Linked DNA regions of Sus scrofa. The protein of the gene in region 2 binds, or shares a complex with, the protein of the main gene of each other region. Links are inferred from orthologs where the notes say so. Each region holds a gene or a part of one and is shown on either strand. Other genes may lie near its edges.

The links.
Region 1: TAF13 (region 2) and TAF5 share a complex: the UniProt entries of both Homo sapiens proteins name them as parts of the TFIID basal transcription factor complex. The link is inferred for Sus scrofa from reciprocal best matches to the Homo sapiens genes TAF13 and TAF5.
Region 3: TAF13 (region 2) and TAF9 share a complex: the UniProt entries of both Homo sapiens proteins name them as parts of the TFIID basal transcription factor complex. The link is inferred for Sus scrofa from reciprocal best matches to the Homo sapiens genes TAF13 and TAF9.

Annotation. Positions count from the first base shown.
Region 1 is NC_010456.5:114,300,129-114,310,971, forward strand, and holds the start of TAF5 (transcription initiation factor TFIID subunit 5), read left to right. Parts: upstream 1-4,434; 5' UTR 4,435-4,465; coding exon 4,466-5,024; intron 5,025-7,680; coding exon 7,681-7,918; intron 7,919-10,843. UniProt on the Homo sapiens protein: The TFIID basal transcription factor complex plays a major role in the initiation of RNA polymerase II (Pol II)-dependent transcription.
Region 2 is NC_010446.5:110,976,295-110,987,142, reverse strand, and holds the start of TAF13 (transcription initiation factor TFIID subunit 13), read right to left. Parts: upstream 6,328-10,848; 5' UTR 6,280-6,327; coding exon 6,253-6,279; intron 5,269-6,252; coding exon 5,190-5,268; intron 1-5,189. UniProt on the Homo sapiens protein: The TFIID basal transcription factor complex plays a major role in the initiation of RNA polymerase II (Pol II)-dependent transcription.
Region 3 is NC_010458.4:47,493,079-47,503,930, forward strand, and holds TAF9 (transcription initiation factor TFIID subunit 9), read right to left. Parts: upstream 6,410-10,852; 5' UTR 6,401-6,409; coding exon of another isoform or gene 6,373-6,400; intron 6,370-6,372; exon of another isoform or gene 6,022-6,369; intron 3,906-6,021; coding exon of another isoform or gene 3,813-3,905; intron 2,803-3,812; 5' UTR 2,786-2,802; coding exon 1,988-2,785; 3' UTR 1,768-1,987; downstream 1-1,767. Other genes in the region: AK6 (adenylate kinase isoenzyme 6), read right to left, coding at 3,813-3,905, 6,410-6,560; cell cycle checkpoint protein RAD17, read left to right, coding at 6,843-6,858, 8,332-8,435. UniProt on the Homo sapiens protein: The TFIID basal transcription factor complex plays a major role in the initiation of RNA polymerase II (Pol II)-dependent transcription.

The DNA of each region.
Region 1 (10,843 bases), on a different chromosome or scaffold from region 2:
GTGTTGAGTGTAGAGAGAAACTGTTTTCCTTTAATTTTTCCCTGTTCAAATCAGACATAATTGTCACTAGAGAATACACATAAAAATACTTCTATAGCAAGTAAGTGCTTTAAGTAAGGTCATAGTATACAAGGTCAACATGCAAAAATCACTATTATTCCCATATACTAGCAATGAACACACTGCTATAGACTAGTAATTTGGTATTTTGTTATGCCACCCCTGGGAAACCAATACACAAAGGTGAAAAGATACACTGTTGTACATCCATACAATGAAATGTTATTTAATAATAAAAAGAAATGAAACAGTGAAACATGAAATAACACAAATGAATCTCAAAGGCATTACACTGAGTGAAAGAGGCTGGTATTAAGAAGCTATATACTGGGAGTTCCAGTCATGGCTCAGTGGAAACGAATCTGACTAGTATCCATGAGGACGCAGGTTCAATCCCTGAACTCACTCAGTGGGTTAAGAATCCAGCATTGCCTCGAGCTGTGGTGTAGGTGGCAGATGCAGCTTGGATCTGGTGTTGCTGTGGCTGTGGCACAGGCAGGTAGCTACAGCTCCAATTCGACCCCTAGCCTGGGAACCTCCATAATGCTGTGGGTGCGGCCCTACAAGAAAAAAAAACAAAAAAACAAAAAAACAAAAAACCCCCAAGCCCCTATCAACATTCCTTTTGTACTAGGTTTTTGAAATCCAGCACATATCTCACACTTACAGAACATCTCAGTTCAGACAAGCTACATTCAGTGACAGTGGTCAATGATCATACTGGTGGCTACTGCAGTAGATAATGCAAGTCAGGTTTTGCGATTACTTCCTAACTGAGTTTTCTAACTCTGGCTTTTTTTTTTTGTCTTTTTGCCTTTTCTAGGGCTGCACCCGTGGCATGTGGAGGTTCCCAGGCTAGGGGTCTAATTAGAACTGTAGCCGCCAGCCCATGCCACAGCCACAGCAACTTGGGATCCAAGCTGCATCTGCGACTTATACCACAGCTCACAGCAATGCTAGATCCTTAACCCACTGAGCGAGGCCAGGGATAGAACCCACAACCTCATGGTTCCTAGTCGGGTTTGTTAACCACTGAGCCATGATCGGGAACTGCTCTAACTCTGGTCTTGCTTCCCTCCAATCCATTCTTCCAATTTAGCCTGAGATATATAAACACATAAATCTGTTTATCTCCTTTCTCAGCTTAAAGTGCTCCAGTGGCTTCTTATTACTTGAGGGATGGAGTTAGAATGCTCGAACAGGCTTGATGATTTATGTCAGAACCCAATCCTAGCTTATCTTTCTAGTCTCATCTCTTACATCTGCCCCTCATGCTTGATGCTCCAGCCATAAAGAGTTTTGTTCCATTTCCTAAATATGTTCCTAGCTCTCTCACCTCTAGTCCTTTGCATACCTCATCCTCTCCCCTATTCCTTTGCCTCGAGGTTTCTGGCTAGCACATATTTGTTACTGTCTGAGCTCTATCATTCTCTCTTTGCCAGTACATATGTACAAGTACAGACAGATAAGACAGAGACACACACACATACACACCCCTCGGGAAATTTCCTATAGTCAATGGCTATCCTTGCCATTCTTCTCAAAGTGAGGCACGGTAAAGACAAACACAAATAAAAAATCTTCCCCTGACTAAATCATAGCAGTGGCCCTCTGGCCCCTTCCACTTTGAGCTGCTATTACACACATAAATCTTAGGGTTTTCACAGTTTCACCACTCACCAGTGTGAGTTCAAACTTAGGAACTAAACAAGATTGTAACTCACACCAGTGGTGGGCTCTCCCCCATCACACCCAACCCTAGAAACTGACAGATCTGTGAAAACCATAAGCATACGTGTGTGTGCACATGTGTGCATGTGTGTTGACAAACAGGGAGTGGTGGAGCCCAGTGACATCACAGGCTTTCCTGGTTTTGGTACATCCCTCACCTTTTCCCAGTGCTGGGCTTCAGCCTCTCCTTCTGGGTATACACATCAGTTAAGGCACCTGATATCTTTAGGGAAATTCACATTCATAGAGAAAAGTAATGAGATACAGAAGGAGGTACAATGCCTATTAAAGCAAGAAATTGAACAATCTAGATTAGATGAAAAATATTAAGTGCATCAGATGGAAAGATAATTTGAATGAAATAATACATATCCTCAAGGTGAAAAGAGTTCATACTGGTTACATCAGGGTTTCTCAATCTTGACACCGTTGACATCTTGGGCTAGATAATTCTTTGCTGTGGCAGGAGCAACAAGGGATGTCCTATACATTATGGGATGTTTGGCAGCATCTTTGGCTTCTACCCACTAGATGCCAGTTGCACTACCCTCAGTTGTGACAGCCCAAAGTGTCTCCAGATATTGCTAAATGCCCCTGGGGGTGGTGGTGGAACAAAGTCACCCAACTGGGTTACACAAAGCAGGAATAACAAATCATAAAGAACCAATCCATAATATTGTGAAAAATATAATGGTTGAGGCAAGTAACTAAGTGGGTTATATAGTAATACAGTCCAGGCCAAGAAAACTACACTGAAAAATCAGGTAGAAGAAGTCTTCTAGAGGATATCAGAAAGGGGTGAACATGAAAATATGAAGGTTAACAAACCTAGAGGATGGAAGTATAAGTATCAATACTTACATCATAAGAGTATAAGAAGGGGGAAACTAGAGGGAAGGAAATATTTGTAGATACAATGCTTACTAAAATCCCAGAATTTTTTAAAAAAAACCTCAGATTGAATGGGTACATAAAGGGCCAATCAAGATAGGCAGGAAAAATCTAATCCTAGATATGTTAGAGTGAAATGAACAAGCATCAAAGAGAAAGAGAAAGGGCCAGAGAGGAAGAGCAGCTCTCCCATAAAGGAACAAGATACAGACTGACACCAGATTTCTTAAAGCATCCCAAGAAGAGAGTAGAAGAATGGGGGTAGGGATCACGAAGGAAGGGGAAAAGAGAAACAAAAATTAAAAGTGGGCTTTGGGAGTTCCCGTCGTGGCGCAGTGGTTAACGAATCCGACTAGGAACCATGAGGTTGCGGGTTTGGTCCCTGCCCTTGCTCAGTGGGTTAACGATCCGGCGTTGCCGTGAGCTGTGGTGTAGGTTGCAGACGCGGCTCGGATCCTGCGTTGCTGTGGCTCTGGCGTAGGCCGGTGGCTACAGCTCCGATTTGACCCCTAGCCTGGGAACCTCCATATGCCGCGGGAGCAGCCCAAGAAATAGCAACAACAACAACAAAAAAAGACAAAAGACAAAAAAGACAAAAAAAGTGGGCTTTGAAGTCCTTCAATAAAAAATACAGAGATTTTGGGAGTTCCCTGATGGTCTAGTGGGTTAAAGATCCGGCACTGTCACAGCTGTGGCTCAGATTGCTGCTGTTGTATGGGTTTGACCCCTGGCCCAAGAACTTCTGCTTGCTGTGGTCATGGCCAAAAATAAAATAAAATAAAATAAAATAAAATAAAATAAAAAAATAAAGAAAGAAAGAAAAGAAAAGAAAAAATACTACAGATTTTATTTGTGGTGTAACAGAAAAGCCACTCTATGTGGTATAAGTGGCTTTGGCTGAAGTCCCAAACCAGACTCTGTGGAACTTAAAAGACAAAGCCAGGTAAAAGGTTAGACACCACAGAAGGAAACGGAGTGGCTGTACTTCTGCAGTCCCAGTTTCTGGGCTTCATCTGTATAGCTGGATCCAGTTTCTAAGACCTAATTCAGGAGACTGATGTATGCATCAGAAGTTTTACTATTCATAATAGGGTAAAACATCTTTCCAGGGAATAGTAAATACACCTGGGTTTATTTATGGCATTTCTCATCTAAGTTCTAAACTAATTACCAATTAATTACATATCAATTAGCGAATAATGAATTAGAAAAATCAGTTGAATGATCATGAGGTATAGGATGAATTTCCCCATCTCATAATTGTTACCATCTGAATTTGGTTTTTTCTCTCTTGGCCACTGCTGAATAAATGCTAACCAATTATTGTTCATCTCCCCTAATGCTCCTCCCCCCATGTTTCATAATCTTACTTTAAAAACAAAATTTTTTTTTTGGCTGTGCCTTGTGGCCACCCGAGCTGCTGCAGTGACAATGCTGGAGGCTTAACCAATGCAAAGTGAAGATAATAGTACTTTACGAGGTTGTTTAATTATATGAGGGCATATAATGTAAAGTGTCTATCGCAGTGCCTGAATATAGCCGGTCCGCAATAAACGGTAATTATCATCGGGCAAACAGAAGAGGCGGTCCCTCATCCCAACTTCCTGCCTTTTTGTCACTCACTTTTGAAAGTCGCTCTCGCTCCTATTCCTTTTTCTCCTTATTTCTCGCCCCTCCTACTGCCGCAAATTGCCTTCCAGAGCTGTCGTAAAACGCTCCTCCCCGCCCTCCATGTGGCGAAAACGCAATCACGCTTGACGGCGCGAGGTGGCTCAGCCGCAAGATGGCGGCGCTGGCGGAGGAGCAGACGGAGGTGGCGGTCAAGTTAGAGCCTGAAGGACCGCCGACGCTGCTACCTCCGCAGGCGGGGGACGGCGCTGGCGAGGGTGGCGGTGGCGCAACCAACAACGGCCCCAATGGCGGTGGCGGGAACGTTGCGGCATCGTCGTCGGCCGGCGGGGATGGTGGAACTCCTAAGCCCTCGGTGGCTGTGTCCGCCGTTGCCCCGGCGGGGGTGGCTCCGGTGGCCGCCGCTGCTCCGGAGGCTGGCGGGCCCCACGACCGACAGACTCTGCTGGCTGTACTGCAGTTTCTACGGCAGAACAACCTCCGTGAGGCCGAAGAGGCGCTGCGCCGTGAGGCCCGTCTGCTAGAGGAGGCAGTGGCGGGCTCCGGAGCCCCGGGAGAGGCGGACGGCGCCGGCGCTGAGACGGCTAGCGCGCTTCTCAGCCGGGTCACTTCCTCGGGCCCCGGCCCTGCGGCCCCAGAGCCTCCCGGCAGCGCCGCTTCGGGAGCCTCTGCTGTCTCGGGCTTAGCGACAGGTCCTGCGGCTCCGGGGAAAGGTGAGCCGCGGGGTCCCTGGGAGGCAAGACCGGCAAGTAGGAGATCAAGCAGGGAAGGCAGAGGCTGGCAGGCCTGCACCTCTGCGGGCTTGTTTTGAATTTCCTGGGCCCGCCTCTAGGGCCACATGCCCGCCCCTTTCCCTAGTGCGCCGGCTGCGCAGTCAAACCCTCTTCCTAGCTGTCAGTTCCAGAGAGAGGCTCTGGAGAGCTATTGAGCCCAGGGATGTACGGGGACGGTGGGCGCAGAGAGCCGGGGATGTTCAGGCTTTTGGCCCCTTTCGTTTTATTTAAGCTCTTGGGCCTTGTGCAGGGGTGTATTAGCACTAACAATATTTGTACAATATTGTACTAGTGTACTTTAAATTATGCATCTTAATTTTCACTGTTATACTGTGAGGTAGACAGTACCTCTATTTTAAAGATGAGAAAAGAGTCTGAGAAGAGCCCAGGGACTTGCTTTGACACAGCCAGAGAGTGATGAAATATAGTATAGCCAGTTTTCTCAAAATACAGGCTTACTATCGCTAGTGTTCCATCTTTTAGGGGAATGCAGATTCCTAGGCGTCACTTCGGACTTAGTGAGTCAGACCCCATGCAGGTGGACTCTGGGAATTTGCATTTTATTTTATTTTGCTTTTTAGGGCCACACCTGTGGCATATGGAAGTTCCCAGGCTAGGGGTGGAATCGTGCTACAGCTGCCAGCCTAAGCCACAGCAAGGCAGGATCTGAGCTGTGTCTGCGACCTACACCACAGCTCACGGCAATGCCAGATCTTTAACCCACTGAGTGTGACCAGGGATTGAATCCGAGTCCTCATAGCTACTAGTCAGATATGTTTCCCCTGAGCCACAGTGGGAAATTCTGAAATCTGCGTTTTAAACAAATACTTACAAGGGGATATTGATGTATATGGCAAAGTTTGAGAACCATTCATTTAGGAACAGGTGTTGACAGACCCGAATTCATTTTCTGTCCCTGTTGCTTTTACTTCTGTGATGCTGCTTGTTATTCTTCCTAAGCTCCAGAGGTTCCCCCCCACCCCCGTTATTGTTGAAATTCAGATATAATGTATGTAAAATGTCAGGCACTAATAAGTTTATGCCTAGGTATCTACCCCTGACACTGAGGCTCCCCCTCCCCTTTTTCTCCAGAAACTGTTGTCACAAAGTCCATGCAGTAAAATTTATACACAGTATAATCTCAGAGGTAATCCTGAGCCAATAATGAATGTTTATTGAATTAAATTATCCACTGTAGAGCCTTTAGCCAAATTAATCTGGACTTCTGAGACTTAATCTTTGCAACATTGCCAGAAGTGAAGTACAAATAGGTAGCATTGTAACCAATAAGTAGAAGTGTGTACAAATGTGATTGAGCAGAATCTTTCCTGAATGCTCTATTTTGTGAATGAACTATAAGGTGGATGAATTATGTTGGTTATTTTGCTGTAATCTCTTATTGCTTCAGAAGCTTGATCTTTTTTTTTTTTTTTATAAGATTGTAACTCAGAAACCAGAAAGGAGAAAAAGAGCTCGTCAGAGTAACCAAAAGAACTTAAAAAAAAATTATGCAGTGAAGTACATAGCAGTACTATAATTGCAACTTAAAAAATTTCCAACAATCAAACTGATTCTATTGACAGATGTATCATTGTTTGGTATATATTACCAATAAATACTCATGTTTTCTGCCGTGAAATGAAGGCAAGTCCTCCCCACCATTAACATGCTTATGTTTTATAGGGAGTGACTGGTGTACCTATATGAAAGTATGTGGGATAGGATGTGTTACAGGAAAGTTACAAAGTACTTAGCTCAGAGAGCTGGGAATGTTACTCCAGAGCCTGGCTTGGTGGTGGTGGCTGCCATTTGCACTGAGCCTGTAGAGAAGATTAATATGGCTATTTGGTTTGCACATACTGGGTTTTATAAAATTTGTCTTTAAGGTAGCTCCAGGAGTTACCATAGTGGCTCAGTGGTTAACGAATCTGACTAGGAACCATGAGGTTGCGGGTTCAATCCCTGGCCTTGCTCAGTGGGTTAAGGATCCAGGGTTGCTGTGAGCTGTGGTGTAGGTTGAAGATGCGGCTCGGATCCCAAGTTGCTGTGGCTCTGGTGTAGGTCAGCAGCTATAGCTCCGATTAGACCCCTAGCCTGGGAACCTCCATATACCGTGGGTGTGGCCCTAGAAAAAGGCAAAAAGACAAAATAAATAAATAAAATAAAATAAAATAAAATAAAATAAGGTAGCTCCAGAGTTTCCTGGTGGTGCAGTGAGTTAAGGATCTGGCATTGTGACTGCCATGGCTCAGGTTGTAGCTGTGGTGTGGGTTCGATCCCTGCCATGGTAACTACCATGTGTCACTGGCCTGGCCTCAAAAATAAAATAAGGTAGCTCTAGCAAAAATATTGAGCCTTTTTTGTATTTATTTGAAAATTTTATTTTAAGATAGGGACAGACTGAAGGGGTTTTGGAAGGGTAACTAAAACAAAGTGAATCCTGTCCAAAGATTATGTAATTGTGTTGGGGAAGAGAGTTTAAGAGAGGGAAAAACATCTGAGAAACAGTTCACCTCTGGACCTTAGCAGAACAGCCTTAGACTCTTGGTGAATGTCACATCATTTTCTTCAGAGTTGTTTTTCGTTTTTTAAACAGTTGGAAGTCTAGCTGTGGAAGACCAGCCGGATGTCAGTGCTGTGCTGTCAGCCTACAACCAACAAGGAGACCCCACAATGTATGAAGAATACTATAGTGGACTGAAACACTTCATTGAATGTTCCCTGGACTGCCATCGGGCAGAGTTATCTCAACTCTTTTATCCCCTATTTGTACACATGTACTTGGAACTAGTCTACAATCAACATGAGAATGAAGCAAAATCATTCTTTGAGAAGTATGTGAATTTATAAATACACAATATGTATATATAGCATGTATATATAATGTATATACATCTGTAACTACACAATTGTAAGATTGCAACCCAAAAAGTACTTTATTAAGGAGAGTTATCTGGTGCTTTGAGAACCTAAAGTGGGGTGGGGGTTGTGGGTGGTTTGATCTAGTTGGAAAAGTCAGGGAAGGCTCCCAGAGGAAATGATGCTTGAGTTAAGCTCTGAAGATGGGATAGGAGTTAACCAGAGAAAGAGACAATGGAAAAGCTTGTGTGACAGCTCTGTGCAGGAAGGATCGTGGTAGGTACAGAGGAGAAAGAAGGCCAGTACGGCTGGAGCAGAGAATAGGGGTGGTGTGTGGAGCAACATGAAGCTGGATAGTTGGTTAAGGGCTGGAGTAGGCAGGTTCTTGGGCCATGTTGAGGGTCTTTGTTTATCCTAAGAGAAGTAGGAAGTTGTATTGGCTAGAATTAAATTTGGCTGAGAGTCACTGAAAACTCAGACAGTAATGGTATAAATAAAAAGTTTATTTTTTGCTTTATCCTAGCAAGATGAAAGTTTATTTTTCTGTCTTATGAAGATAGGCAGTCTAGGACTGGTATGATTATCAGAGACCTAGGCTCTCTCGACCTTACTGCTGTAACATTCTTGTCATGCAGTTTCTACTTATGGAACAAGGTGACTCTCCAGCTCTAAGCAATCCCATTAGTGTTATAGTCAACAGAGAGGGCACACATCCTTCCTGAAGGCTGCACATTCTTCTCTCTTTTTTATGTCTTTAACCAACAGTCATGTCTACCTACAGGAGAGGTAGGAAATGTGGTCTTTACCTAGGTATCTGTATGCTCAGCTAATATTCAGGTGTTCTAGTGTGGAGGAAAAAAGGAAAAAAAAAAGGATTTTGGTGACAGTGAGACATCTCTGCTACAGAAGTCATTGTAGGACCATGTCATTATTAGATTTTCTTTTTTTTTTTTTTTTTTTTTTTTTGTCTTTTCTAGGGCCACACCTGTGGCATATGGAGGTTCCCAGTCTAGGGGTCCAATTGGAGCTGTAGCCACCACCCTACAGCAGAGCCACAGTAACACGGTATCCGAGCCATGTCTGTGACCCACACCACAGCCCACGGCAACACCAGATCCTCAACCCACTGAGCAAGGCCAGGGACCGAACCTGCAACCCCATGGTTCCCAGTCGGATTCATTAACCACTGAGCCACGACGGGAACTCCCTAGATTTGCATTTTGAAAGGACCTTTATGCAGTGGGGAAAACATGGTGGGGGGACAGAGTGATTATAGGTTGACCATTTTGGAGATTACTGCTGTTGTTCTCAACTGGGGGTGATACTATTTCTCCTTCCCCTGGGCTCTTTGAAAGTAAAGGTGTTTTGGTTGTCATAAGGACCAGGCTGGAGGATCCTGTGTTTTAGGGGTACCAAAAGTTCCAATATGTGCAGGTAGTCCCACTTAGCAAAGAATTGTTCTGCCTCAAATACTAATACTATCCCTGTTGAGAAGCACTGGATTAGGGTGTGATTGTGTTGGTGAAGGGAAGGAGACATATTTGTGAGGCTCATGGTGAAGGATTGGATATGGAGGTAAGGGAGATGAAAGTATAATTGATAACCCCTAGGTTTCTGGCTCTCCTGGGCTGGATATAAGGCTGCCCTTTGCCAAGATAGAAAACCCGGGAGAAGACTGGGTTTGTCAGGTTGTGTGATGATCTTGAGTTCAGATTTGAATATACCTTTTACTCATTTAAAAGATGTCAAGTGCATAGATAAATGACCTATAAGGCTCTAGAAATCAGGAGAGATAGGGACTGAAGCCATAAAATGGAGTTGTGTGCAACATTGATGGGTAGGGATGAGATTTTCTAAGAGAGAGTATGAAATAAGTCATTGGAAGGACTAGGCCTCAGTCTTCAGTATTTGGAGTAGAAGAGAAATAAAAGGAGTAGAAGAGAGGGTGAAGTAGAAGAGTTTTAAGAGGAGAGGCCAGAGAAGCAGAAAGAAAACCAGAAGAGGGTTGAGTTATAGAAGCCACAGAAAAGGAATGTTTGAAAAGGGGGTGGTGCTTAACAGTTGAATGAGAGCTCTTTATTATAAGCAGTAGACCCAGAAGCTAGGACTTGTCAGGTAACACAGGTAATGGGGGTAGAGGAGTAATAGGACTCCTGGCTTCTGTGCCACTATATTCATTCATTATTCTACAATGCCTCATAGAAGATATATAAAACAAATGTTTTGTACTCAGTGTTCTGGAAAAAAAAAAAAAGGCTGATGGTGATAGAATTCCTAAGCTAATTTTTCTTATAGTACTGTCATCAAAAAACCTTTTCCTCTTCCAATCTCATGGCGTAGCCCTCTCCTCACGTAGGAAGCTAGAATATCATAGGGGATCCTCTGTCTCCTTGTGGACATCCTCAGGCCTCGCCAGGAACCCATGCTCGGATGAAGTTATTCTTAGTGCATAGTGACTAATACAGACACCAAGAGGCTGATATTTATAATTTCATTCAAATCTTAGACAGAAACGACAGAAACACTTTTTTTTTTTTTTTTTTTTTTGGTCTTTTTGTCTTTTTAGGGCCGCACCCGAGGCATATGGAGGTTCCCAGACTAGGGGTTGAATCAGAGCTGCAGCTGATGGCCTACACCATAGCTACAGCAATGCCAGATCTGAGCCTCCTCTGCGACCTATACTGCAGCTCATGACAACGACGGATCCTTAATCCACTGAGCGAGGCCAGGGATTAAACCTGCAACCTCATGGTTCTAGTCGGATTCGTTTCTGCTGTGCCACAATGGGGATTCCAAGAAGCTCTTTTTTTTTTTTTTTTTTTTTTTTTTTTTGGTATTTCTTGGGCCGCTCCCGAGGCATATGGAGGTTCCCAGGCTAGGGGTTTAATCGGAGCTTTAGC
Region 2 (10,848 bases):
TGGCTGCTTCTAATGAATTTTTATTTGTTATTGTATTTTGCATCTCTTCTTGTTTTAAGTTCTATATCTTGTATCTCTCTGCTCAGTGTTTCCTGTAAATTATCCATCTTTGCCTCCAGTTTATTCCCAATGTCTTGCATCATCAAGCACATTTACATTGTATTTGTTGCCTCCAAGTACAGATTTTGGTGTAAAAGGTTTGAACTGCCAGCTTATAATTGGCTGTTCCTACCTAGCTTTCCCAAGGTAGGACTCCCTTCCCTCTCAGTTACTGAACCCTCACATCAACATTCCTTCCCTCATCCCTCTGAACTGCTCACCAACAAACCCAGAACACCTGTAAGTAAGACACTCCATGGCAGGAACAGGATAAGTAGCATGGTTTACCCTTTACTGGGACTGTTTTGTGTGTGTTGTCGGGGGTGGCAGTGGGGAGGTAGGAAAAAGGTAAAAGTCTTTCTGATACTACCATAAGGAAGTGGACATGAGAGAAAGTGCTCCAATTACCTTCTTTATAGGAAGAACAAGGTAATCAAAAGGAAAAAGCAAGGGGCTTACTATACAAAATCTTGACATTTCATTCCCTGGATCAAAGCAACTGCCAGCAAAGCCCCTTCAGGTTTCAACTGAAGGAACCACAGAAAATGCAAAAGAGAAGAAAAGTCTAATACAGAGTGATAAAAATAACTCCTAGTAGCTAAAAATTATATAGCCCTTAACATGCCAGGAGTTATTTTAAATTCATTTGGAGTTCCTGTCATAGTCCAGCAGAACCATGACGTTGCGGGTTCGATCCCTGGCCTTGCTCAGTGGGTTGAGGTTCCAGTGTTTCCAGGAGCTGTGGTGTAGGTCACAGATGCAGCTCGGATCTGGTGTTGCTGCAGCTGTGGTGTAGGCTGGCAGCTACAGCTCCAATTAGACCCCCAGCTTGGGAACCTCCATATGCCGAGGGTGAGGCCCTAAAAGGACAAAAAAAAAAAAAAAAAAGACTAAACTCATTTAATCGCCACAACAATTCTTTGAAGCAAAAACTATTATTATCCCCAGTCTACATAGATGGGGAAACTGAGGCACATAGGTAAATGATTTATCCAAGGTCATAAGATAGTGAGATGGAAACTGAGTTTGAATCCAGATGATCTGGCTCCAGAGTCTATACTCCTTCCCACAACAGGATTACCCTTCTTGGTAGTTTAGGGAAGATGGGAGCCATATGGATTCTTATCCTACAGTCTATAAACTCCCAGTTAGTTCATGGATAAGCTTTGAGAAGTCAGGGGACTCTAATGAAATTATATGCAAAAAAATTTTAAACATTATTTGAGTGTGTGTGTTTTTCTGGGAAGAAAAATCAACTCATAAGATTCTCAAAGGTGTATATACTAAGAAACTGTCACATGTTAGAAATGTTTCATATCCTGATCTGACTAGTGGTTACAAGTGTATATATATATATATGTATATATATATATATATATATGTAAAATTCATCAAGCTATTCACTGAAGACTAGTCCTATCTGTCTGTCTATCTATCTATCTATCTATGCTTCTTAGGGCCACACCGTGGCATACGGAAATTCCTAGGCTAGGAGTCAAATCAGAGTTGCAGCTGCCTGCCTATTCCAGCAAGGCTGGATCCAAGCCGCAGCTTCGACCTGCACCACAGCTCACGGCAACACCGGATCTGTAATCCACTGAGCGAGGCAAGGGATCAAACCCATGTCTTCATGGATACTAGTCGGGTTTGTAAGTGGCTGAGCCACAGCAGGAACTCCAAGACTAGTACAATTTATTGTATATAAGTTTTACATTAAAAAAAAAAAAAAAAAAGGAGTTCCCGTCGTGGCGCAGTGGTTAACGAATCTGACTAGGATCCATGAGGTTGCGGGTTCGGTCCCTGCCCTTGCTCAGTGGGTTAACGATCCGGCGTTGCCGTGAGCTGTGGTGTAGGTTGCAGATGTGGCTCAGATCCCAAGTTGCTGTGGCTCTGGCGCAGGCCAGTGGCTACAGCTCCGATTAGACCCCTAGCCTGGGAACCTCCATATGCCGCAGGAGTGGCCCTAGAAATGGCAAAAAGACAAAAAAAAAAAAAAAAAAAAAAAAAGAGGAACTCCTAGAACACTTCTAAAAGCAGGAATGAGTACATTAAGAGCAATTCCTATTTAGGAGAAAAGAGTAGACAAGGCCTGCAGATGAAAAGAAAGGGTAACTTTGGAAGCCAGCCTGGGATAGAGAAGTACCCTAGGGTTTATTCTGGCAAAAGTCTCTAGGCCCAGATACAGGAGGGAGAAAACAAACACAGGAGCCAGTATTTTCTCCCCTCTCTTTTCTGGATTCTGAACATTGCCCCCACCTTTTTTAAATAGGTAATTTCAGACTTAGAGAAGAGTTGCAAAAGTAGTACCAAGTTCCCCAATGCCTCTATCAGTTTCCCCTTATGTTAACATCTTATATAACCAAAGATATTTCTCAAAACTAAGAAATTAACAGTGGTACAAGTACCAGTTTCTCCACTCATGTACTTTTTCTGTTCTAGGATCACACACTATTCAGCTGTCATGCCTCCTTGGTTTCCTCTGTTGTGCAACAGTTCCTCAGACTTTCCTTGTCTTTTAGAACCTTGATGCTTCTGAAGAATACTGGTCAGTTATCTTGTAGAATGTCCTTCAGTTTGGGTTTGTCTGATGTTCACTCATGGTTAGGTTGTGATTATGCATTACTAGAAAGGGTACACCGAGATGATGTACCTCTTAATGCCTCATATCATGAGTACATAATGCCAACATACATTACTAGTAATGTAAACTTTGATGACTTGCTAAAGTAATGCATGCCAGGATTCTCCACTGCAAACGTAATTTTTTCCTTAAATGTTCTGAGGAAGATATCTTGTCATTAACATTTTGATGAGAAGAATTCATCAGTAGGGAAATACACTTCACTGGAAAAGGAAAAACTTAGATGGGAAGTTTGTAAACTGTTTTGATTAAAGAGTCTGTAAAGGAGTTCCCATTGTGGCTCCGTGGTTAATGAACCCTACTAGTATCTATGAGGGCATGAGTTTGATCCCTGGCCTTGCTCAGTGGGTTAAGGATCCGGTGTTGCTGTGAGCTGTGGTGTAGGCCACAGACACAGCTTGGATCCAGCATTGCTGTGGTTGTGGCATAGGCCAGCAGCTGCACTCCAGCGCTGCTGTGGCTGTGGTGTTGGCCAGTAGCTGCAGCTCCGATTTAACCCCTAGCCTGGGAACCTCCATATGCTTCAGCTGCGGCCCTAAAAAGACAATAAATAAATAAATAAATAGAGACTGTAAGGATATAAAAACCAGCAGTGAATGCTTTGAAACTTTGTGTTATATTGGCAAAAAAAACGTTTTTAAAAAAAGGTTTAGGAACAGATCTTGTTCAGGAAGGTATATGAAGATTCAGGTAAGACAAGGAAAAGGCTTCGAAGATTCTGAACTCTTGTCATCACAAAACAAAGCAATCCAAGTGGAACAAAGGCTTCTGGTAAGAACTGACTATATAATCATCACTATGGGACACTCTGATATGGAATCCCTTTCTTATGGAAACATAAGAAGCAAAACCAACCATAAGAGGGAGGGGGAGGGACAGGGAGGTTGGGGTCAGTAGGTGTAAACTATTGCATTTAGAGTGGACAAACAGTGAGATTCTGCTGTATAGCACAGGGAACCATATCTGACCACTTGTGTTGGAACATGATTGAGGATAATGTGAAAAAAAAAAGAATGTATACGGATGTATGGCTCGGCCACTTTGCTGTGTAGCAGAAACTGACAATAGACTGCAATCCAAAAAATTTTTTTAGAAAGAGAAGCAAACCCACATACAAATGGAGTAAACAACATCAGAGATAGAATAAGAGGTGATCCACTTTCTCTTTTTTTGCTTTTTAGGGCCACATCTGTGGCATATTAAGTTCGAAGGCTAGGGGTAGAATCAGAGCTACAGCTGCCAGCCTATGCCACGGCCACAGCAACGTCAGCTCAGCCTGGCTGCGACCTACACTGCAGCTCATGGCAACGCTGGATCCCAACCCACTGAGCGGGGTCAGGGATCGAACCTTCATCCTCACGGATACTAGGCAGGTTTGTTACACTAAGCCACAATGGGAACTCCAGGAGTGGTCCACTTTCAATGAGAAACTGATATAACAAGGGATTTGAATGGTTAAGGAAGAAAAAGACATACTGACTCTGCAGTTTCAAGAGCATTTAGGAACTGCTTACATGCAAACCAGCATAAGTAAACAAAGTATTCAGGCGCTGCCTCATCAGGTCAGCCATGTTACATGAAAAGGACTGGGACTGGGAGATAGAGAGCCCGCACATTCTCATGGTGCCTTTCAAGGGCTGGCCTGGATCAGCAGCAGCAGCAGCTGCTCTCCTTGCTGCTGCCAAAAAGGGTAAAGCTCTCTACTCAGAGAGTAGAACAGAGAACCAAAACCTTATTATCTCTATGCCACTGGACTGCCTCACACTGTTCACTTTCCTTGTCCACTGCCTTAGTCCAAAGCCCCAACTTAATTCCTATTCTCAGCACCTGTTCCAGGAGCCAACATAACCTTTGGCTTACAATCAAAGGAGTCCCTGCTCCTACTACTGCACAGGTAAGGGACAGAAAAAGTAACAGAGGTACTGAATTGAAACACTGATCATATTTCTTTTTTCTTTCTTTTTTTTTTTTTTTTGCTTTTTAAGGCCACACCCATGGCATATGGGAGTTCCCAGGCTAGGGGTCAAATCAGAGCTATGGCTGCTGGGCTATACCACAGCCACAGCAACACAGGATCTGAGCCATGTCTATGACCTACACCACAGCTCATGGCAACGCTGGATCCTTAACCCACTGAGCAAGGCCAGAGATTGAACCCAAAACCTCGTGGTTCCTAGTCGGATTTGTTTCCCCTGCACCACGATAGGAACTCCCACATTTCTTTAAAAAAAAAAAAAAAAAAAAGTGTGTCATATACATACATATACATATATAAATACATACACTGGGGTAAGAATCATTACTATGGTTCACAGGTTAAACAAAATTTACAGCTAAGTCTGACAATATTGTCCCTACAAGGAAACACATTCAGAACAGTAAGTCTACTTTGAACAGACATTTCCAAAGGTTTTTATCTATAACGAAATCATTGCCAAATACTACTTACATTCTTTAGAAAAAAGTCTCTTTCTTTTACCCTGTCCACCTTCGGCACCTCCTCCAATTTCTTCACTTTCTTCCTCAAACTAGAAGTTAAAATGTATACATAGAGATGTCAAGCACTGCATTGGACTTTTAAATAATTAACATTTTTTCCCCACCTTCAACAATGATATCATGCCTGAAAGCCTAAAGCAGGCAGCAAAACCCCATGAAACCTTAGAATTTCAGAGGCCTTAAAAACTATCAGTCCAACTTCAGACTCATGCAGGAATGGCTTCTACAATATCCATAATAACCGTAGTGTCTCTCCTGGAAAAGTTCCAATACCATATTTTTGTTGTTGTTGTTGTTTTTTACCGAGCCCAAGGCATGTGGAAGTTCCCTGGTCAGGGATCCAACCCGCGCCACAGCAGCGCCGCAAGCCGCTGCAGTGACAACGCTGGATCTTTAACCTGTTGCCCACAAAGAACTCCCCACACCGTTCTTTTTTTTTAAACCAACTAAGCTGGCCTATTTCTAGACAGTTTTGCTAGTAAAGGAGTTGATACTGAATTAAAGCAAGCAAAACTAAGTTACTAAGCACTGCTAACACAGCCCTAAGAACGTTCCTCAAGGAAGCCTTAATCCCATTTTGTGATGTGAAAACCGAGGCTCAAATAACCTGCTCACAGAGAAAAGAGATTTTGAAATCCATGTTCCCTGACTCTGAGTCCATTATTTTTCCACTATTTTACAATAAGTATATAGTTTTGTTAGCAGTTGAATTGACGGTTCATAATGAGCGCTAACATACTAGCTTTGTCCTCTGATGATTCTCTAGATGTTTCAGAGAGTGTCTGGCAAACATGGACCAAAAGCAAAGGGCAGGCAGGGAGCCACGCTCCCACTCTTCCCGCCCCGCGTACCAAAAAGATGAATCTGAAGGGAAAGGCTAGTATGAAGCAAAGTCTCTGATGCTCTCCTCTGAAAACACTACGGAAAAAAGCTCCAGTTCTAAACTGTGCCTCCGCTATAAGTGCCCGAAAGAGTGCAGAAAAACGTGGGCTGGAACACAAGTGGTCACTCACGGTGGGGTCTTCCTCCTCATCTGCCATCCCACCAGCCAGCCGCCTCCCGGACTCGCCTGCCTACCACCCAGCGGGTTTTATCACTTCCGCTACCTCACTTCCGGTGACGCGCAGAGCCGGGGCGGGGCCTAGTCGCGACCCCGCCTGCGCAGGGGACAGCAGCTCGTCCGACCTAGCGGCCGGACCGAGAGGGCACTTAGTTGAGGATGACGTCTTGTCAAGAAAAAATTAAAAATTAGCAAGGAAAAAGGAAATCTCGGGCAAGGTGGCGTGTATCTCTTGCTTCCGTACGTCGGATTTCTGCTTCCTGATTCGACTGCGAAGCTATGTATCGTTCAGGGCTAGCTAGGGGTTCGTTTAAACATCTTCAGCCCCTCAGAGTTCCACTGTTATTTATTACTAAGGTCTGTATTGGTTACTGAGGATGTACTTTGAAAGCAGTTCTCAAGGGGGTGTTATCATCCCTTAGACTGGGGACTTAACTTTTGTGGGGCGTTTTTGTTTGTTTGTTTGTTTAATCAGAACTTTGGGAAAACCATGGATTTTAGAAGGCTAAATAAAGCTAGGTGTTTAAGCTGTTCTGCAATGCAAGGCCACACAGGGAAAGATTACCCCACAATACTCTATTTCTTTTTTTCTTTCTTTCTTTTTTTTTTTTTTAGAGCCATACTTGAGGCATATGGAAGTTCCCAGGCTAGGAGTTGAATCAGACTAGAACTGCAGGCCTATGCCACAGCCACAGCAAATTGAGATCCAAGCTGCTATGTGACCTACACCCAAGCTCACAGCAACACCAGATGCTTAACCCACAGAGAAGGCCAGGGATGGAACCCTGCATACTCATGGTTACTAGTCAGATTCGTTTTGGCCACAACAGGAACTCCCAAACTACATTATTTCTGAATGTTCTTAACATTCCTGTGAGTGAAAAATCAGTTCATAATTATCTGGGCCAAGAACATAACTGTTAATATATAAACACTGGCATTTTAGTGGCCTAGCAGTTAAGGATCCAGCCTTGTCACTGCTGCCCACCCCACCACAAAAGAAAGAAAATTCAATGTACCTTAAAAACACAGGAAAATGCTTTGTGTTTGCATTTGGGCTTTTTTGTTATTTATTTTTGCTTTTTAGGTTCTCACTCGCAGCATATTGAGGTTCCCAGGCTAGGGGTCCAATTGGAGCTTTAGCTGCTGGCCTACACCACAGCCACAGCAACACAGGATCCGAGCCACATCTGCAACCTACACTACAGCTCACGGCAACGCCAGATCCTTAGCCCACTGACCAAGGCCAGGGGTTGAACCTGTGTCCTCATGGATGCTAGTCAGATTCATTAACTGCTGAGCCACAAAGGGAACTCCCTGTATCTCTTTGTTTGGATCCTTAACCTACTGAGCCACTAGGGAACTCCCACACTGAATTTCCTAGGAATGCATATATATATATATATATATATATATATATATATATGTCTCAACCGCACTCCCTTTCTTGTCACAGAATTCCTAAAACCCTTGTAATTTGTTAAGTGATAAGAGCACTAGGAGCATCTCCTGTTCTAATATCTGGTCTTTGACATCCATCCCACACCTCCTCTATGCACACACACCGGGCTATTAAAACCCCTGTAAATTCCTAAGTGATAAGAACACAACTTTGTTCTAAAAAGGCATCTCTGAGTGGGCTCCTGGACGGCTCTTAGATAGGGACTAGTCACCAAAATGACCAAACCTTGATTAGAACCTTGGAATTTTCAGGCCTCTTCCCTGCCACTACCCTCCCAATTCTCTAGAGAGAGGAGAGGACTGGAAATGGAGTTAGTAATCGATCATGCCTACTCAAGGCATAACAACTCCAACGGTAAGGGGTTCAGAGAGCTTCCAGGTTGGGGAACACATCCACTTACCTGGAGGTTGATGCACTTTAATTCCATGGAGGCAGAAGTTCTGTGCTCAGGACCCTCCCAAAGAGCGCCCTGTGTGTCTCTTTATCTGTATCCTTTATCATATCCTTTAATTAAATTGGTAAACATGTCTCCCCGAGTTTTGTGAGCTGTTCTACGAAATAACCAAATCCAAGGGGGGAGGAGGTCATGGGACCCTCTGATTTGTAGTCCAGTCAGACAGAAGTTGGGGGTAACCTGGGGGCTTACTACTTGTGATTGGCATCTAAAATTGGGAGCAGTCTAGTGGGACTAAGCCCTTCATCAGTGGGATCTTACACTCTCTCCAGCTCAACAGTGTCAGCATTGAGTTAAACTGCAGGACACCCACCTGAGGTCACACAATTGTTTGCTGTGTGTGTGTATGCGTCGGGGGGGATACGCCACATATTTGGTCACCAGAAAGGAAGTGTTCTGTGTGAAAGTAATGGAGAAAGATACATAGAAAAGAAAGAACTGGGAATTTCCCCCCAAAACAGCAACTACCCTGAAATTGGACAGAGATAGTACTTTGTTTTGTTTGCATCTCACCAAGAGCTGTGAACTACTCAGGAAATAATGTCATGAAAAGCCACATCACTTGTAATAATTTGGGTAGCCAATATGCACTGGAATCAGTCTGCATTTGTAGCTCCTTGCATTCACGGGGACTCTACATATACGTGCAAGCATCTGAGATCATTATACCCTCTAGCTAGTCATTTATATATATTTATAAATATATTTATATATTTATAAATATATTTAATATATATTCATATATCAAAATGCATATTATTATAATTTACTGTCTTTATTTTACCTTTATATTATAGTTAGGACATTATACTTTTTAGTTATGTGGGTACTTAGGTCTATCGGTTATTTATTACTGTGTAACAAATTATCCCCAAACTTAGTGGTTTAAAACAATGAACACTTATCACACAGTCTCCTCTGAAGAATTGACGCGGAGGATCCATTTCCAAAATCACACTGTTTTCAGCAGGATCCAATACTTCAGGTTGTTAAAGACCTCAGTTCTTCACTGGCTATTGCCAGAAGCCTCCCTCCACCCCTTGCCACGCAGTCCTCTTCATAGGGCAGCTGACAGCACGCCTCTATCAGCGCAGATGAAGGGGAGAACCAGGAAGCATACCCAAGACCACAGGTCTTTTTGTAACCTACCGTTGGAACTAGCACCCCACCACTTTCGCCCTGTGCTATTCACTAAAAGACATAAGTGCAGCCCACACTCAAGACTAGGTCGTTACACAAGGATGAGATTACTAGGTGGCACACATCACTGGAAGCTACCTGACAAGCTGCCTATCATGGTAGGGTAGATTGTGAGTTTTGATTCCGAATAATAAGGGAGATATTATATTTGTTATTTAGGGAGGACTGTTGGGTCTGAAAGGGTTGAGAACTGCTATATCAGGCAGTGATGAAACACTGGAATTGTCCAAGGGATCTTGTATAAAATATCCACGGTGTCCATTATCAGGGGAAAGGATACACACCAAGGAGTACTATGCAGCAATCAGAAGCAACAGACTGGTGGAGTTCCCACTGTGGCTCAGTAGAAACGAATCCCACTAGTATCCATGAGGATGCAGGTTTGATCCCAAGCCTCGCTCAGTGGGTTGAGGATCCCTTGTTGCTGTGAGATGCAAACAAGTTTGCAGCTGGAGCTTGGATCTGGTGTTGCTGTGGCTGTGGGGTAGGCCAGCAGCTGCAGCCCTGATTTGACCCCTAGCCTGGGAACTTCCATATGCCATGGGTGCGGCCCTAAGAAAATAAAATAAAAAATAAAAATTTTTGAAAAGAAGCAACAGACTAGCACCATAAGTAGAGCTTAGAAACACAGTGCTGGAGTTCCCATCGTGGTCAGTGGTTAATGAATCTGACTAGGAACCAAGAGGATGCAGGTTCGATCCCTGGCCTTGCTCAGTGGGTTAAGGATCTGGCGTTGCCATGAGCTGTGGTATAGGTTGCAGACGTGGCGCGATACCTCGTTGCTGTGGCTCTGGTGGAGGCTGTCGCTACAGCTCCGATTGGACCCCTAGCCTGGGAACCTCCTTATGCCGCGGGAGTGGCCCAAGAAATGGCAAAAAGACAAAAAAAAAAAAAAAACCACAGTGCTACATTTAAAAAGTGAGAAACATAATGAGATCTATAACAAAATACCATTTATGTATATTAAACACACATACACACAAAAAGCACATATTTTACAGGAACACATAAAAAAGTATAGGAGTTTCCCAGTGGCCTAGCAGTTAAGGATCTCCTGTGGCTCGGGTCACTACTGTGGCATGGGTTTGAACCTTGGTCCAGAAATCCTGCATGCCTCAAGTGTGGCCAAAAATAAAAATAAAAAAATAAAAAAGCATAGACATCAAATACATTAGTAAGGTTGCAGGTAGCAGAAATGAGAGTAGGGATAAAGGGAATGCATAATACATAACAAGTGAAGGCCTGAGAAGGGTCAGTTACGACAGTATGTCATGAACAGTGAAATGTGAATAATTGAACATTCTGAACCTGAGATCCAGATATAAACGGGGGGAAAAATGCAGTTTGTGAGTAGCAGAAATAAAACTGTGCTTCAACAGGATGTTTCCAGTGGGTGCCAGAATCAAGTTGGTTTGTTCAGAGACTGAACTTCA
Region 3 (10,852 bases), on a different chromosome or scaffold from region 2:
AAAACCCTTTGTTTTTACAAGTCTCATCACTTACAGCAGTTTCTCAACCTGAAATACTACTGATATTTTGAGCTGGATAATTCTCTTAAGGGGATGGAGGGCTGTCCTGTGAATTGCAGGATGTTCAGCAGAACTCCTACCCATTAGAGGTCAGTAGCAACACTGCTCCCCCCGCCCAAGTTATGGCTACCAAAAACCTGAGAAGTTGCCAAATGTCCCCTGAAGGGCAAAAATCACCCCTCCGCCCCCGCCCCGTGTGGAACCACTGCTTTGTAGATGGTTGCAGGGTTTTCCTTAAAATACAGCAGCACCATTTGGAAAAAATGAGGAGGCTCAATGTCTCAAATTATTTCCTAGTAAGATTTTTAGATATATCCATATGGTATGTGGGAAAAGAAAGCTGGTACATTTTGAAAAACCTTACAGGAGTTCCTGTTGTGGCTCAGTGGTAACAAACCTGACTAGTATCCATGAAGTTCGATCACTGGCCTCGCTCAGAGTTGAGGATCCGGCATTGTGGTGAGTTTCAGTATGGGTTGCAGACGTGGTTCACATATAATGTTGCTGTGGCTGTGGTGTAGGCCAGCAGCTGCAGCTCTGATTCAACCCCTAGCCTGGGAACTTCCATGTGCCCGGCTTGGGTCCTAAAAGAAAAAAAAAAAAAAGAAAGAAAAACTTGTAAAGTACCTCATCTAACACAAGACCAGAAATTCTTTTATCTGGCAAAATGCAAGAGGAAAAAAAACCCCACTTTTCCTTAAAAGTAAAGTCCATCTCAGGAAATAATCTCATTAATAAAACACAAAGGATGGTCAGGACTATGCACCATCAGGTAGGCACACAGCTAAAATGGTGTGAGTACAAGAGGATGACTCAGTGAGGAGGAAAGAGTGTCCCACAGCGGATTATCCTTGGTCTGGTGTTCTCTCAGTGCAATTCATGACAGGTTATAAAGCAACTTCATTAACTTCAGAAATATTATATCGAGTGGGTGAGATTAGAACTGGAAGACACAACTGAATATGACTACTCTATGTGACTGAAATCACTTGTCAGAACTAGTAAAGTTCAGGAGTTCCTGTCATGGCTCAGTGGTAATAAACCTGACTAGAATCCATGAGGACTTGGGTTCAATCACTGGCCTTGCTCAGTGGGTTAAGGATCTGGTGTTGCAGTGAGCTGTGGTGTAGGTTGCAGACGTGGCTCCGATCCTGAAATGCTGTGGTTGCGGCACAGGCCAATGGCTACCTCAGATTTGACCCCTAGCCTGGGAACCTCCATATATCGTAGGTGTGGCCCTAAAAAGAAAAAACAAAAAACACTGGCTTATTATAGCAAGAGCATGACTAGCAAAGATGCACAAAACTCATCCTCAAAAAGAGACACTAGAAAAAAATTTTTTTTTAAATTTTAAGTGGTGAGACACTGGGAGACATACCAAGGTCTTTCAATATAAGCAAAGGGATAGAAAAAAATGGAACCTAGGAGGAAGTCTGGCCATTGAGAAAGATAAATCTAAATGGGTGAGGATTTAATATGAATAAAAATCCTGACTAAGTGATTTCTCCACAAGAACAGCTCACAGAGTGACTTATACACCAGAGATCATTTTATGACCTAAACATCTGAAGACACTAGAAGTGACACACTAGTGGTAACGAACAGACTGTAACAACCTCAAGTTTTTCCAACTGTTAACTTCGGTCGGTCGGTGATGAGGCAAAAATTGCTTCTAAAAACATAACTGTCAAAGTATCAACAATCAAACTGATGAATTACAACTTTATTTTTTACACTTAAAGGCTGATAAAAACCATTACTAATCCTATTAACGTCCAACATATAGCAATTAAAAAATATGGTAACCACCTTTACTCATTAAATACTATTTTTCTAAAACATAACTTAGAAACATCCAGCATGCATGTTTAATCCCAGTACAATGGATTCAAAACCAAGTATACATGCTACATGCATCGAGGCTAGATTACAAATTATCATAGTCGTCGTCGTCATCATCCTCGTCATCGTCATCATCTTCACGTTTTCTTTTCAATGCGTTTGATGATTCACTGGCAGTATTTTGTGATGACACCATGTTAGTGGTAATAAGAATATTTTTGGACCCAATTAATGATGGATTAATTAGAACATTCTGAACTGCTGATGTTGCAGGAATTGATGCTTTTACAGCTGGGGACTGTGAAGTGGGCATCTGTACTGTGAACCTTTGCCCTGTGAGGGACACTGGTGTCCCTACTTTAGCTGGAACAGACATGGTTTGTTGGGTTGGTGTGCCAAGTGTGGGAGTACTTGGTCTGCTAGTAACTGAACCCACACTTAACCGCGGAACTGTTATTCTTCCCGCAGAAGTAGATGCCTTTTTTTGTAAAGACTTAAGTCTGTAATTTGGAGCAGTCAAACAGTATCTATCAGGTGGCAATCGAGGGCCTGAATATGGCTTGATCAATGGCAAAGGGGTTTGATTTCTTTGCCTTGCAATATCTAATAAAAAATCTCTTGGGGGAGGAGAGGTAAATGATTGGTCAGCACGACACTGGATTGCCAATCTCACATCATCTGCATCAACAGTCGCTTTCTTAGCATGACTTGAATAAATTTTTGCATCATCTAGAATTGTGGTCACATATCGGAAGGCAAACTCCAGCATCTGATTTATAACTCTTGGCTCATATTCTGTAATCCCCATATCCTTCAGGATTTGTGCCATCATCTGTGCATCTTTCGGCATGCTCTTGGGAGAAGCCATCTTGCCAGACTCCATGATATCCGGTGATCAGACTTTAGATCATTTGAAAAAAATATGTACATTAGATCAAACCTGAAATAGTTACTTTAGAAGCAACTGTCAGGAACTTTAAAAAATTGAAATACATGTTAAATTTTCAAAAGTATAAACTTAAAAAATATGTTAAGTTTTTTCCATTTTAATGAGACACATTTAAAGTTCCCTTTACTTAAATTTACTGCATTTCTACCCATTATGGAATGTAAAAAGATGAAGACACAAATAAGAGAATAATAAAAGATTTGGGAAAAACAGGGTAAAATAAATAAAAACATGTCACTTTAGAATATGTGCAGTTGCTTGCAGGCATGCGCCTACCAAACTAATCTAAGAAAATCCCATAGAACACATAGGACAGCTATGTCCTGATGCCTGAGTTCAAAATGACATCCTTACAGTGAGCTCAAGATACTCACAGTCTTCAGATATACTTAGCAACACCCCAACCTTTAGGTGTTCACCCAACTCAAAATACTCTCATATTCAGATTCTATCTGTCCTAAGTCCAATCTTCATGGAAACTGTCCCAATCAGTACTGTCAAAAAGAACTGCTGGCCGACTGTGGAAGGGATGTAATGGTCAAAATAACCAGGTTACAGCATTAAATAACTTGTTCTATCTCTATGGGTCCCCAATAGAGCACAAATTCCTTAATGGGAATCTTCCTGCTTTATATACCCCCATACAAGTACAGTACCAACACTCTGTTACTTCTCCCGCCCTTATTAATAAGCAAATATAGGAGTTCCCATTGTGGCTCAGCAGAAACGAGTATGACTAGCATCCATGAGAATGCAGGTTTGATCCCTGGCCCTGCTTAGTGGGTTAAGGATCCGACGTCGCCTCGAGTTGTGGTGTAGGTCGAAGACGTGGCTCAGAATCACATTGCTACAGCTCCAATTCCACCCCTAGCCTAGGAACCTCCATATGCCTACGGTACAGCCCTAAAAAGACCAAAAAAAAAAAAAAAAAAAGCAAATCTAACACTGAAGTGTCCCTTACCTTCTCGAGCTAAATCACCCACATTAATGTATTTCAATCCTGATCTTGATGCAAGTTCTTTGCCGAGTGTGGTTTTTCCAACCCCTGGTGTACCTGTAAGACAAACCACAGAAAAAAACTGTTTATAAAATATTTATTAGGTTTTAGCCAATGATCTGTCCTTAAGGTCCTTAATAACTGAAAAGTTTCCTAATTAGCAATCCTAATTACCATAACCTAATTCACACCATAACCTAATGAAAACCACCCAAAGCCTGCTGGACATGACAATCCTACTCGGTGTATCAGATTCTACCAGGAGTGAGGCTTGGGAGAATCTGATGACAATCAAAGGCTGTCTGCTACCACCATGGAAATCCCCAGATTGAAACTAGTTATCTCAAATAAATCACCATGAGTTATTTGCTTTAATTTTATTTTTATTTATTTTTGTCTTTCTGCCTTTTCTAGGGCCGCACTCGCGGCATATGGAGGTTCCCAGGCTAGGGGTCCAATCCGAGCGATAGCCGCCAGCCTACGCCACAGCCACAGCAACATGGGATCCGAGCCGCGTCTGCGACCTACACCACAACTCACGGCAATGCCAGATCCCCCACCCACTGAGCAAGGCCAGGGATGGTTCCTCATGGTTCCTAGTCGGATTCGTTAACCACTGAGCCACGACGGGAACTCCTATTTGCTTTAATTTTAAAAAATTAAATTGTTCATGGGAAAAAGTTCAGCAGTATGAAAGACAAATCTCATTTCCAATATGGACCCTCTGTACTCTTCCCTAGAGGCAACCAGTATAAACTGGTTTCTTTTATTTCTCTCTCTAAAGAATCATATGTATGTTTTTGTAAATATGTCCATATATATATATATATATGATAGCATACTACATATGTGTACATATCTTCACACTGTGTGTATATATACGTGCACACACCAAATACTCCCTTTTATGTAAGTGGCAATACTATATATTGTTTTTCAACTTCCCTTTTTTTCTTTCTGGCCATGACTATAGGCCAGGGATTGAACTTGCACCACAGCATCAAGTCAAGCCACAGCAGTGAATAAGCCAGATCCTTAACCCACTGTGCCACCACAGGAACTTCTATCTTATTTTTTATATCTACTGTATTTCAAAATATATAATCAAACTCATAACTTTCAGCTGCTCAGGTTTAATACCACTGAAATTATAAAATTTAATCATTTTAATTGAAGATAACAGGAATTGGAGTTCCCATCATGGCTCTGTAGTAAGAAACTCAACTCGCATCCATGAGGATTTGGTATGGTTCCCTGGTCTTGCTCGGTTAGTTTAAGATCCAGCATTGCCATGAGCTGTGATGTAGGTCACAGATGCAGCTTGAATCTGGTGTGGCTGTGGCCAGCAGCTGCAGCTCCAATATGACCCCTAGCCGGGGAACTTCCATATGCTGCAGGTATGGCCCTAAAAAGCAAAAAAAGGTAATAGGAATAGATCTTCATGTAAGGACAGTAACAATCCACTATAATATACTAAATTTGAACTCTGAATTCACCATGTTTTCAATAAAACACATTTAGATTTTTGACGATATGGTTTAATATTAAAAAAAACCCAAGACACTCACTATCTGACCCAAACAAATCAATGTTGTACAATCTTCCCCTTAAGAAATCGTCATGGCTAACCATTAATTTGTTGAGGTTAATCTGCAGCTTTCAGAAACAGAAGGATTTGTGTGCTGCCAATAAATAACCGCCTCAATTTTTATAATGCAACAGCATCTATCTACATCCATTAGATTTTTTTCATGAATGCCCTAGGATGCCATTAACTGCTACAATCTAATAAACATTTTCAGAGTTAAACAACCAAAAATAATATTCTTTATAAGATCGGTATGAAGCATTTTACTATCCCTCATATATAACAAACGCCCTCAGTATAGATCCGAAGACCCAGATGAACCCCCACAGTGAATCTTAGAACACCTCTACACGAGAAACGACCAGAGATACTCAGTAGATGCCTTTCCTTCTTAAAATAATGAAAAAAAAAAAGCCTCTGAAGCTAACTTCACAAGTGTATATAGCAAATTAATCACCCCACACCGCAAACACCCGAATCCTTTCATCGAAATCTGCCAGAAAGAAAGGAAAAGCGAGAAACGGGCCCCGGAGGCCTAAAGCATCCACCATTAAGAGATCTACCAAAGGCCAGACACTGTCTTACATTATATTGCTAAAAGCCTGAAGACAACTCTGCCAAGAGGCAACGGCCATTTTGCAAACAAAAAGGTGATTGAGAAAGCTTAGGCAGCTTGCCAAAAAAGGAAGCTAGATACATCTACCTCTCTCCGCCTCACCGAAGGGCCAACCTCTGGCCAAACAAAATTGACGTTCGCGGTCCCCTCCCCCCGCCTCCCGCAACCGTCGCGAGGGCCGGTCACGAGGCCCCAACAAGTGCCACGCTAGGCGACCCTTGTCGACCCCCGACACAGAACACTGAACGCCCCCCCCCCCCCACTTCGGGCGTCCCAGGCTGGCCCCACCGTCCAGCACCACCCCCACCGCGCGCCCTGACCGGTGAGCAGGATGTTCGGAAGCAACATGGTCCTCACCGCGCTGGCTCCGGACGCTTCTGCACACGCGCCTTACACGCGACAGGGAGGGGCCGGAAGGGGCGAGGAGCGGCAAATGCCTGTGGCGCGGAGGTACGCGAGACCTTGAGTGGCGCTCGCGACCCACATCTGCCGCCTTGCCACTGACCATTGGTTACCTAGGCTTCTATAACACGCTTCCATTGCAGGGTCCAAAGTACCAAAACAGGTCATGTCCGCGCTTCGGGTCAGGCAGTGCGCTGGATGCCTAAGACATTCGCTCTTTTAGCGGCCCCGCCCTTCGGGCCGTGTCGCCGAAGCGCCGATGCTCTGAAAAGTCCCCGGGAGGCGGGACCTCCAAGAGGCTCTGCGCTGAGCCCGGTTAGGGCTGAGTGGCTTTGCTTACACCTGGAGCCAACCGTGGGCTCCACCACTGTTCTGCGCCCACGAGGGGATGCTGCTACCAGAAGGTAACGCTTCCGTGGCTGTGGCTGCGGTGTATTTATGTCCTAGAGACCTTAAGTCCAGGTCTGCCTTCACGCCTTCTCAGACTCTTGTAGCCCCTCCTCCTGACCTGCCCATCCCATCTGTGGATTAGAGGGGTGAGCGTTCAGAGCTCTGGCCTGGAGCTGTGGCAGACCAGCTCATCTCCGCTTTGCCCTGACTAGTAGTATTACGTTGGATGATTGTATGAGCTTAGTATCCCCTGTGCAGTGTATAGAGTGGTGGTGGGTCTGCTAGAAATACTCTTCGAGGTCTTTTCTCCCTCTGATGTCTCATTTCGGGAACCTGGTATCGTCAAAGACAGTTGCCTGCTTTTTAAAGGAGGTAACTGTCAGTCTTTTTTTCAAAGGGTTAGAGTCTAGATGGTATCAAGTGTATGACTTTTATTTTGACCTGCCAACGGTATTTTCTGAAATAGTTGTTTTTTCCATCTTAAATACGTTTTTGACGCTGTAAAGCAAAAACCCCTCTAGACATGAACAGCTTATCTATATGTGTGTGTACGATTTGTTTTCTAGTGTTTAAAAGTATTTACACATTATAAATTACACGTGCTTCCAAACTATAAAAAAGCTCAGTTTACAGGTTTGTAGACGCTAAAAAAACTTTCTTTCTGGCTAACTTAAAATTGGTGAGTTCACTGGTTTGCCTAAACATTGAAGAATTATGACAGTTGGAAAACAGTGTTGCCCAAAAATGTTGTGATAACGTTTAAATAAGGACGGTTATAGAAAAAGTTTACAGTAGGAGATAAAAATCTTTGTTTAAAGTGAGTGATATGTCTGAATTAATTTTTGGTGTCTTTTTAAAAAAATCCTCTTTGAATTTTTGAAATTTATAATTTGAAATGAGGGAAATTTTAATTTTAAGTATAAAACTGCAGAAATAGAATTGTCTAATCTTTATTAATGACAAAAGGTAGATATACAAATGTTCGGGATTTTTTTTGTTTTCCTAATACATTGAGTTAGATGAAAAACTGAACACCACAGATAGATTATTTGACACAATTATAGTCGTTGAAATTTTAGTTATTTGGAATTCCCATAGTGGCTCAGCAGAAATGAATCCAACTAGCATCCATGAGGATGCGGGTTAACAATCCTTGGCCTAGCTCAGTGGGTAAGGATCCTGAGTTGCCATGGCTGTCGCTAGCTGGCGGCTACAGATCTGATTCGACCCCTAGCCTGAGAACCTCCGCAGCTGCAGATGCACCCTTGGAAAGACAAAAAAAAGAGAGAAAATTTATAGTTTCAGTTTAAAAATAGAATTTATTTTAGCATTTTGAATTCTTGCTTCCCCTATATTTACTGTGTTCTCTCCCACTAGTCCTTAAGCCTTAACTTTATTATGTTCTTGACTTTTATCATGTGTATTAATTACTATACTTCTATTTTACAGTTTTTCTAAATTTGAGATTTCTTTCTTTTTTTCCCTAGGCGAATTGTACTTTAATGTGTTACAAGTTGTATACTCCGGATGGGAACTATCAAAGTTTATAATGTCAAAAACTTTTCTTAGACCAAAGGTATCTTCCACAAAGGTATGATACACTAAAATGGCCACATGAAATTGCCCAAAAAGAATTAAAGTTTTTGTAGATATTTGTAATAACTTATTATTGCTAGCAAAATAAGGGTGCTCAGTATCTGTTGTAATTGATCTAACAAGTCTGGTAATAAACTGTGAAACAACTGTACATTTAACATGATTTAATGAGACACAGATGTCATATGCTATCACTTATATGTGGAATCTAAAAAAAATGATACCATGAACTTCCTTGCAGAACAGATACTGACTCACAGACTTTGACAAACTTATGGTTACCAAAGGAGACACGTTAGGGAGGAGGGATAGGCTGGGGGTTTGGGATGGAAATGCTGTAAAATAGGGTTGTGATGATTGTTATACAAGTATAATAAAATTTATTGAATTACCCCCCACCCAAGGAACAAAACTTCAATTTTGAAAAATATTTACAATCTCAGTCACAAAGAAAAGGCTAAAAACTCTTGAATGGAAGAGCAGTAGAAAAAAAAGAAATATGCATCTTATAGCTTAACAACAGGCCCTGCCTCAGAAATTATGTGGTTCACTATATGCCAGTTTTTAGCAAGGCTGGCAGGTGGGTAGGACAGGTGTCATATAGTGTCATACTCATGAAAGTTAACTTTTTTCCTAGTGATGGATCTCATTTTTCTCTGATCTTAAGCAATTTATTTCCCTTCACTGTTTCTTTTTTTTATCTTTTTTGTTGTTATTAAGGTAAATGGAAGTTCATATTTATGTAGGAAATGAAACTATAAAATGTGTAACATGCAGATCGGGATTGCTAGATTAGACTTGCTGTCAACAGTTTTACTTCTAATACTATTTTAATATATTTTTTATTTTTTTATTTTTATTTTATTTTTTTAATTTTTTTGTTTTTTTTAGGGCTGCACTTGCAGCCTACGAAGGTTCCCAGGCTAGGGGTCAAATCAGAGCTACAGCTGCCTGCCTGCGCCGCAGCCACGGCAACCCTGGATCCTTACCCGTCTGAGTGAGGCCAGGGATTGAACCCACATCCTCCTGGATACTAGTTGGGTTTGTTACTGCTGAGCCACAATGGGAACTCCTAATATATTTTTTAAAATAGAAGAGAGAGTTCTCTTGTGGTACAGTGGGTTAAGGGTCTGGTGTTTTCACTGCTGTGGCTTGAGTTGCTGCTGTGGTGAGGTTTGATCCCTGGCCCAGGAACTTCCACATCCTGCAGGTGCAACCAAAAAATTAAAAAATGAAAAAATAAAATAGAGGAAAGGGACCAAAATTGTAATACTAGTGGCAGTCTTTTTGAGAGGAGGAAGTGAATTAGGTAGCTGTGGCTGAAATATTTTTCCAGAGGTCTTCATTTCTTCCCTCACTGCTGATAATAATCCTAATCCTTTGTCTTTAAAAGAGGAGTGAAGCATGACTTTTGCATTCATAAGACACTTAAGTTAGGACTCCAGCTTACTTCTCCTGAGCCTACTTTCAGCTCCAACCTCTGGTTCTTTTTCTCCCCTAAAGGAGCATTATCTTATTTACTACTAAATGGTTCACAACTGTGGCTGAGTATTCTTCAAGGAAAATAAAATCTTGGTTTCCCCTTGCTAGTGAGGCAGGGAATTTCAAAATTCAGGTACTAAACTAGATAGTTCTAAATTTATATTGTTTGTATGTTAAGGAAATCCACTTTTAAAATTCTAAATTTTTTTTTTTTTTTTGGTCTTTTGTCTTTTGTCTTTTCTTAGGGCCGCACCCAAGGCATATGGAGGTTCCCAGGCTAGGGGTCTAGTCGGAGCTGTAGCCTCAAGCCTACGCCACAGCCACAGCAATGCCAGATCCAAGCCACGTCTGCGACCTACACCACAGCTCACGGCAGCACCAGATCCTTAACCCACTGAGCGTGGCTGGGGATTGAACCCGCAACCTCATGGTTCCTAGTCGGATTTGTTTCCGCTGTGCCACAATGGGAACACCTACAATTCTAAGTTTTTAAAAAACCTTTTTAATCCTCCTAAATATTTGTATATTAAAATTGCTTAACAGTATCTTTCTCTGTGTATGCTTCAGAAGGATTTTATTATTTTTTTAAAACCTTTTTTTCTTCGTCTTTTTTTAGGGCCTCACATGTGGCATATGGAGGTTCCCAGGCTAGACGTCTAATTAGACCTATAGCCGCTGGCCTACGCCACAGCCACAGCAACAGCAACGCAGGATCCGAGCCGAGTCTTCGGCCTACATCACAGCTTACGGCAACACCGCATCCCTAACCCACTGAGCAAGGCCAGGGATCGAACCCATGTCCTTGGGTTTGTTAACCACTAAGCCATGACGGAACTCCCAAAAGGATTTTAAAAAAAAGGAAACGATGTAGGGAGATGTAGAGTGGTCAGTAGTTTCTATAGATCAGAAGACCGTAAAGTAGAACTTACT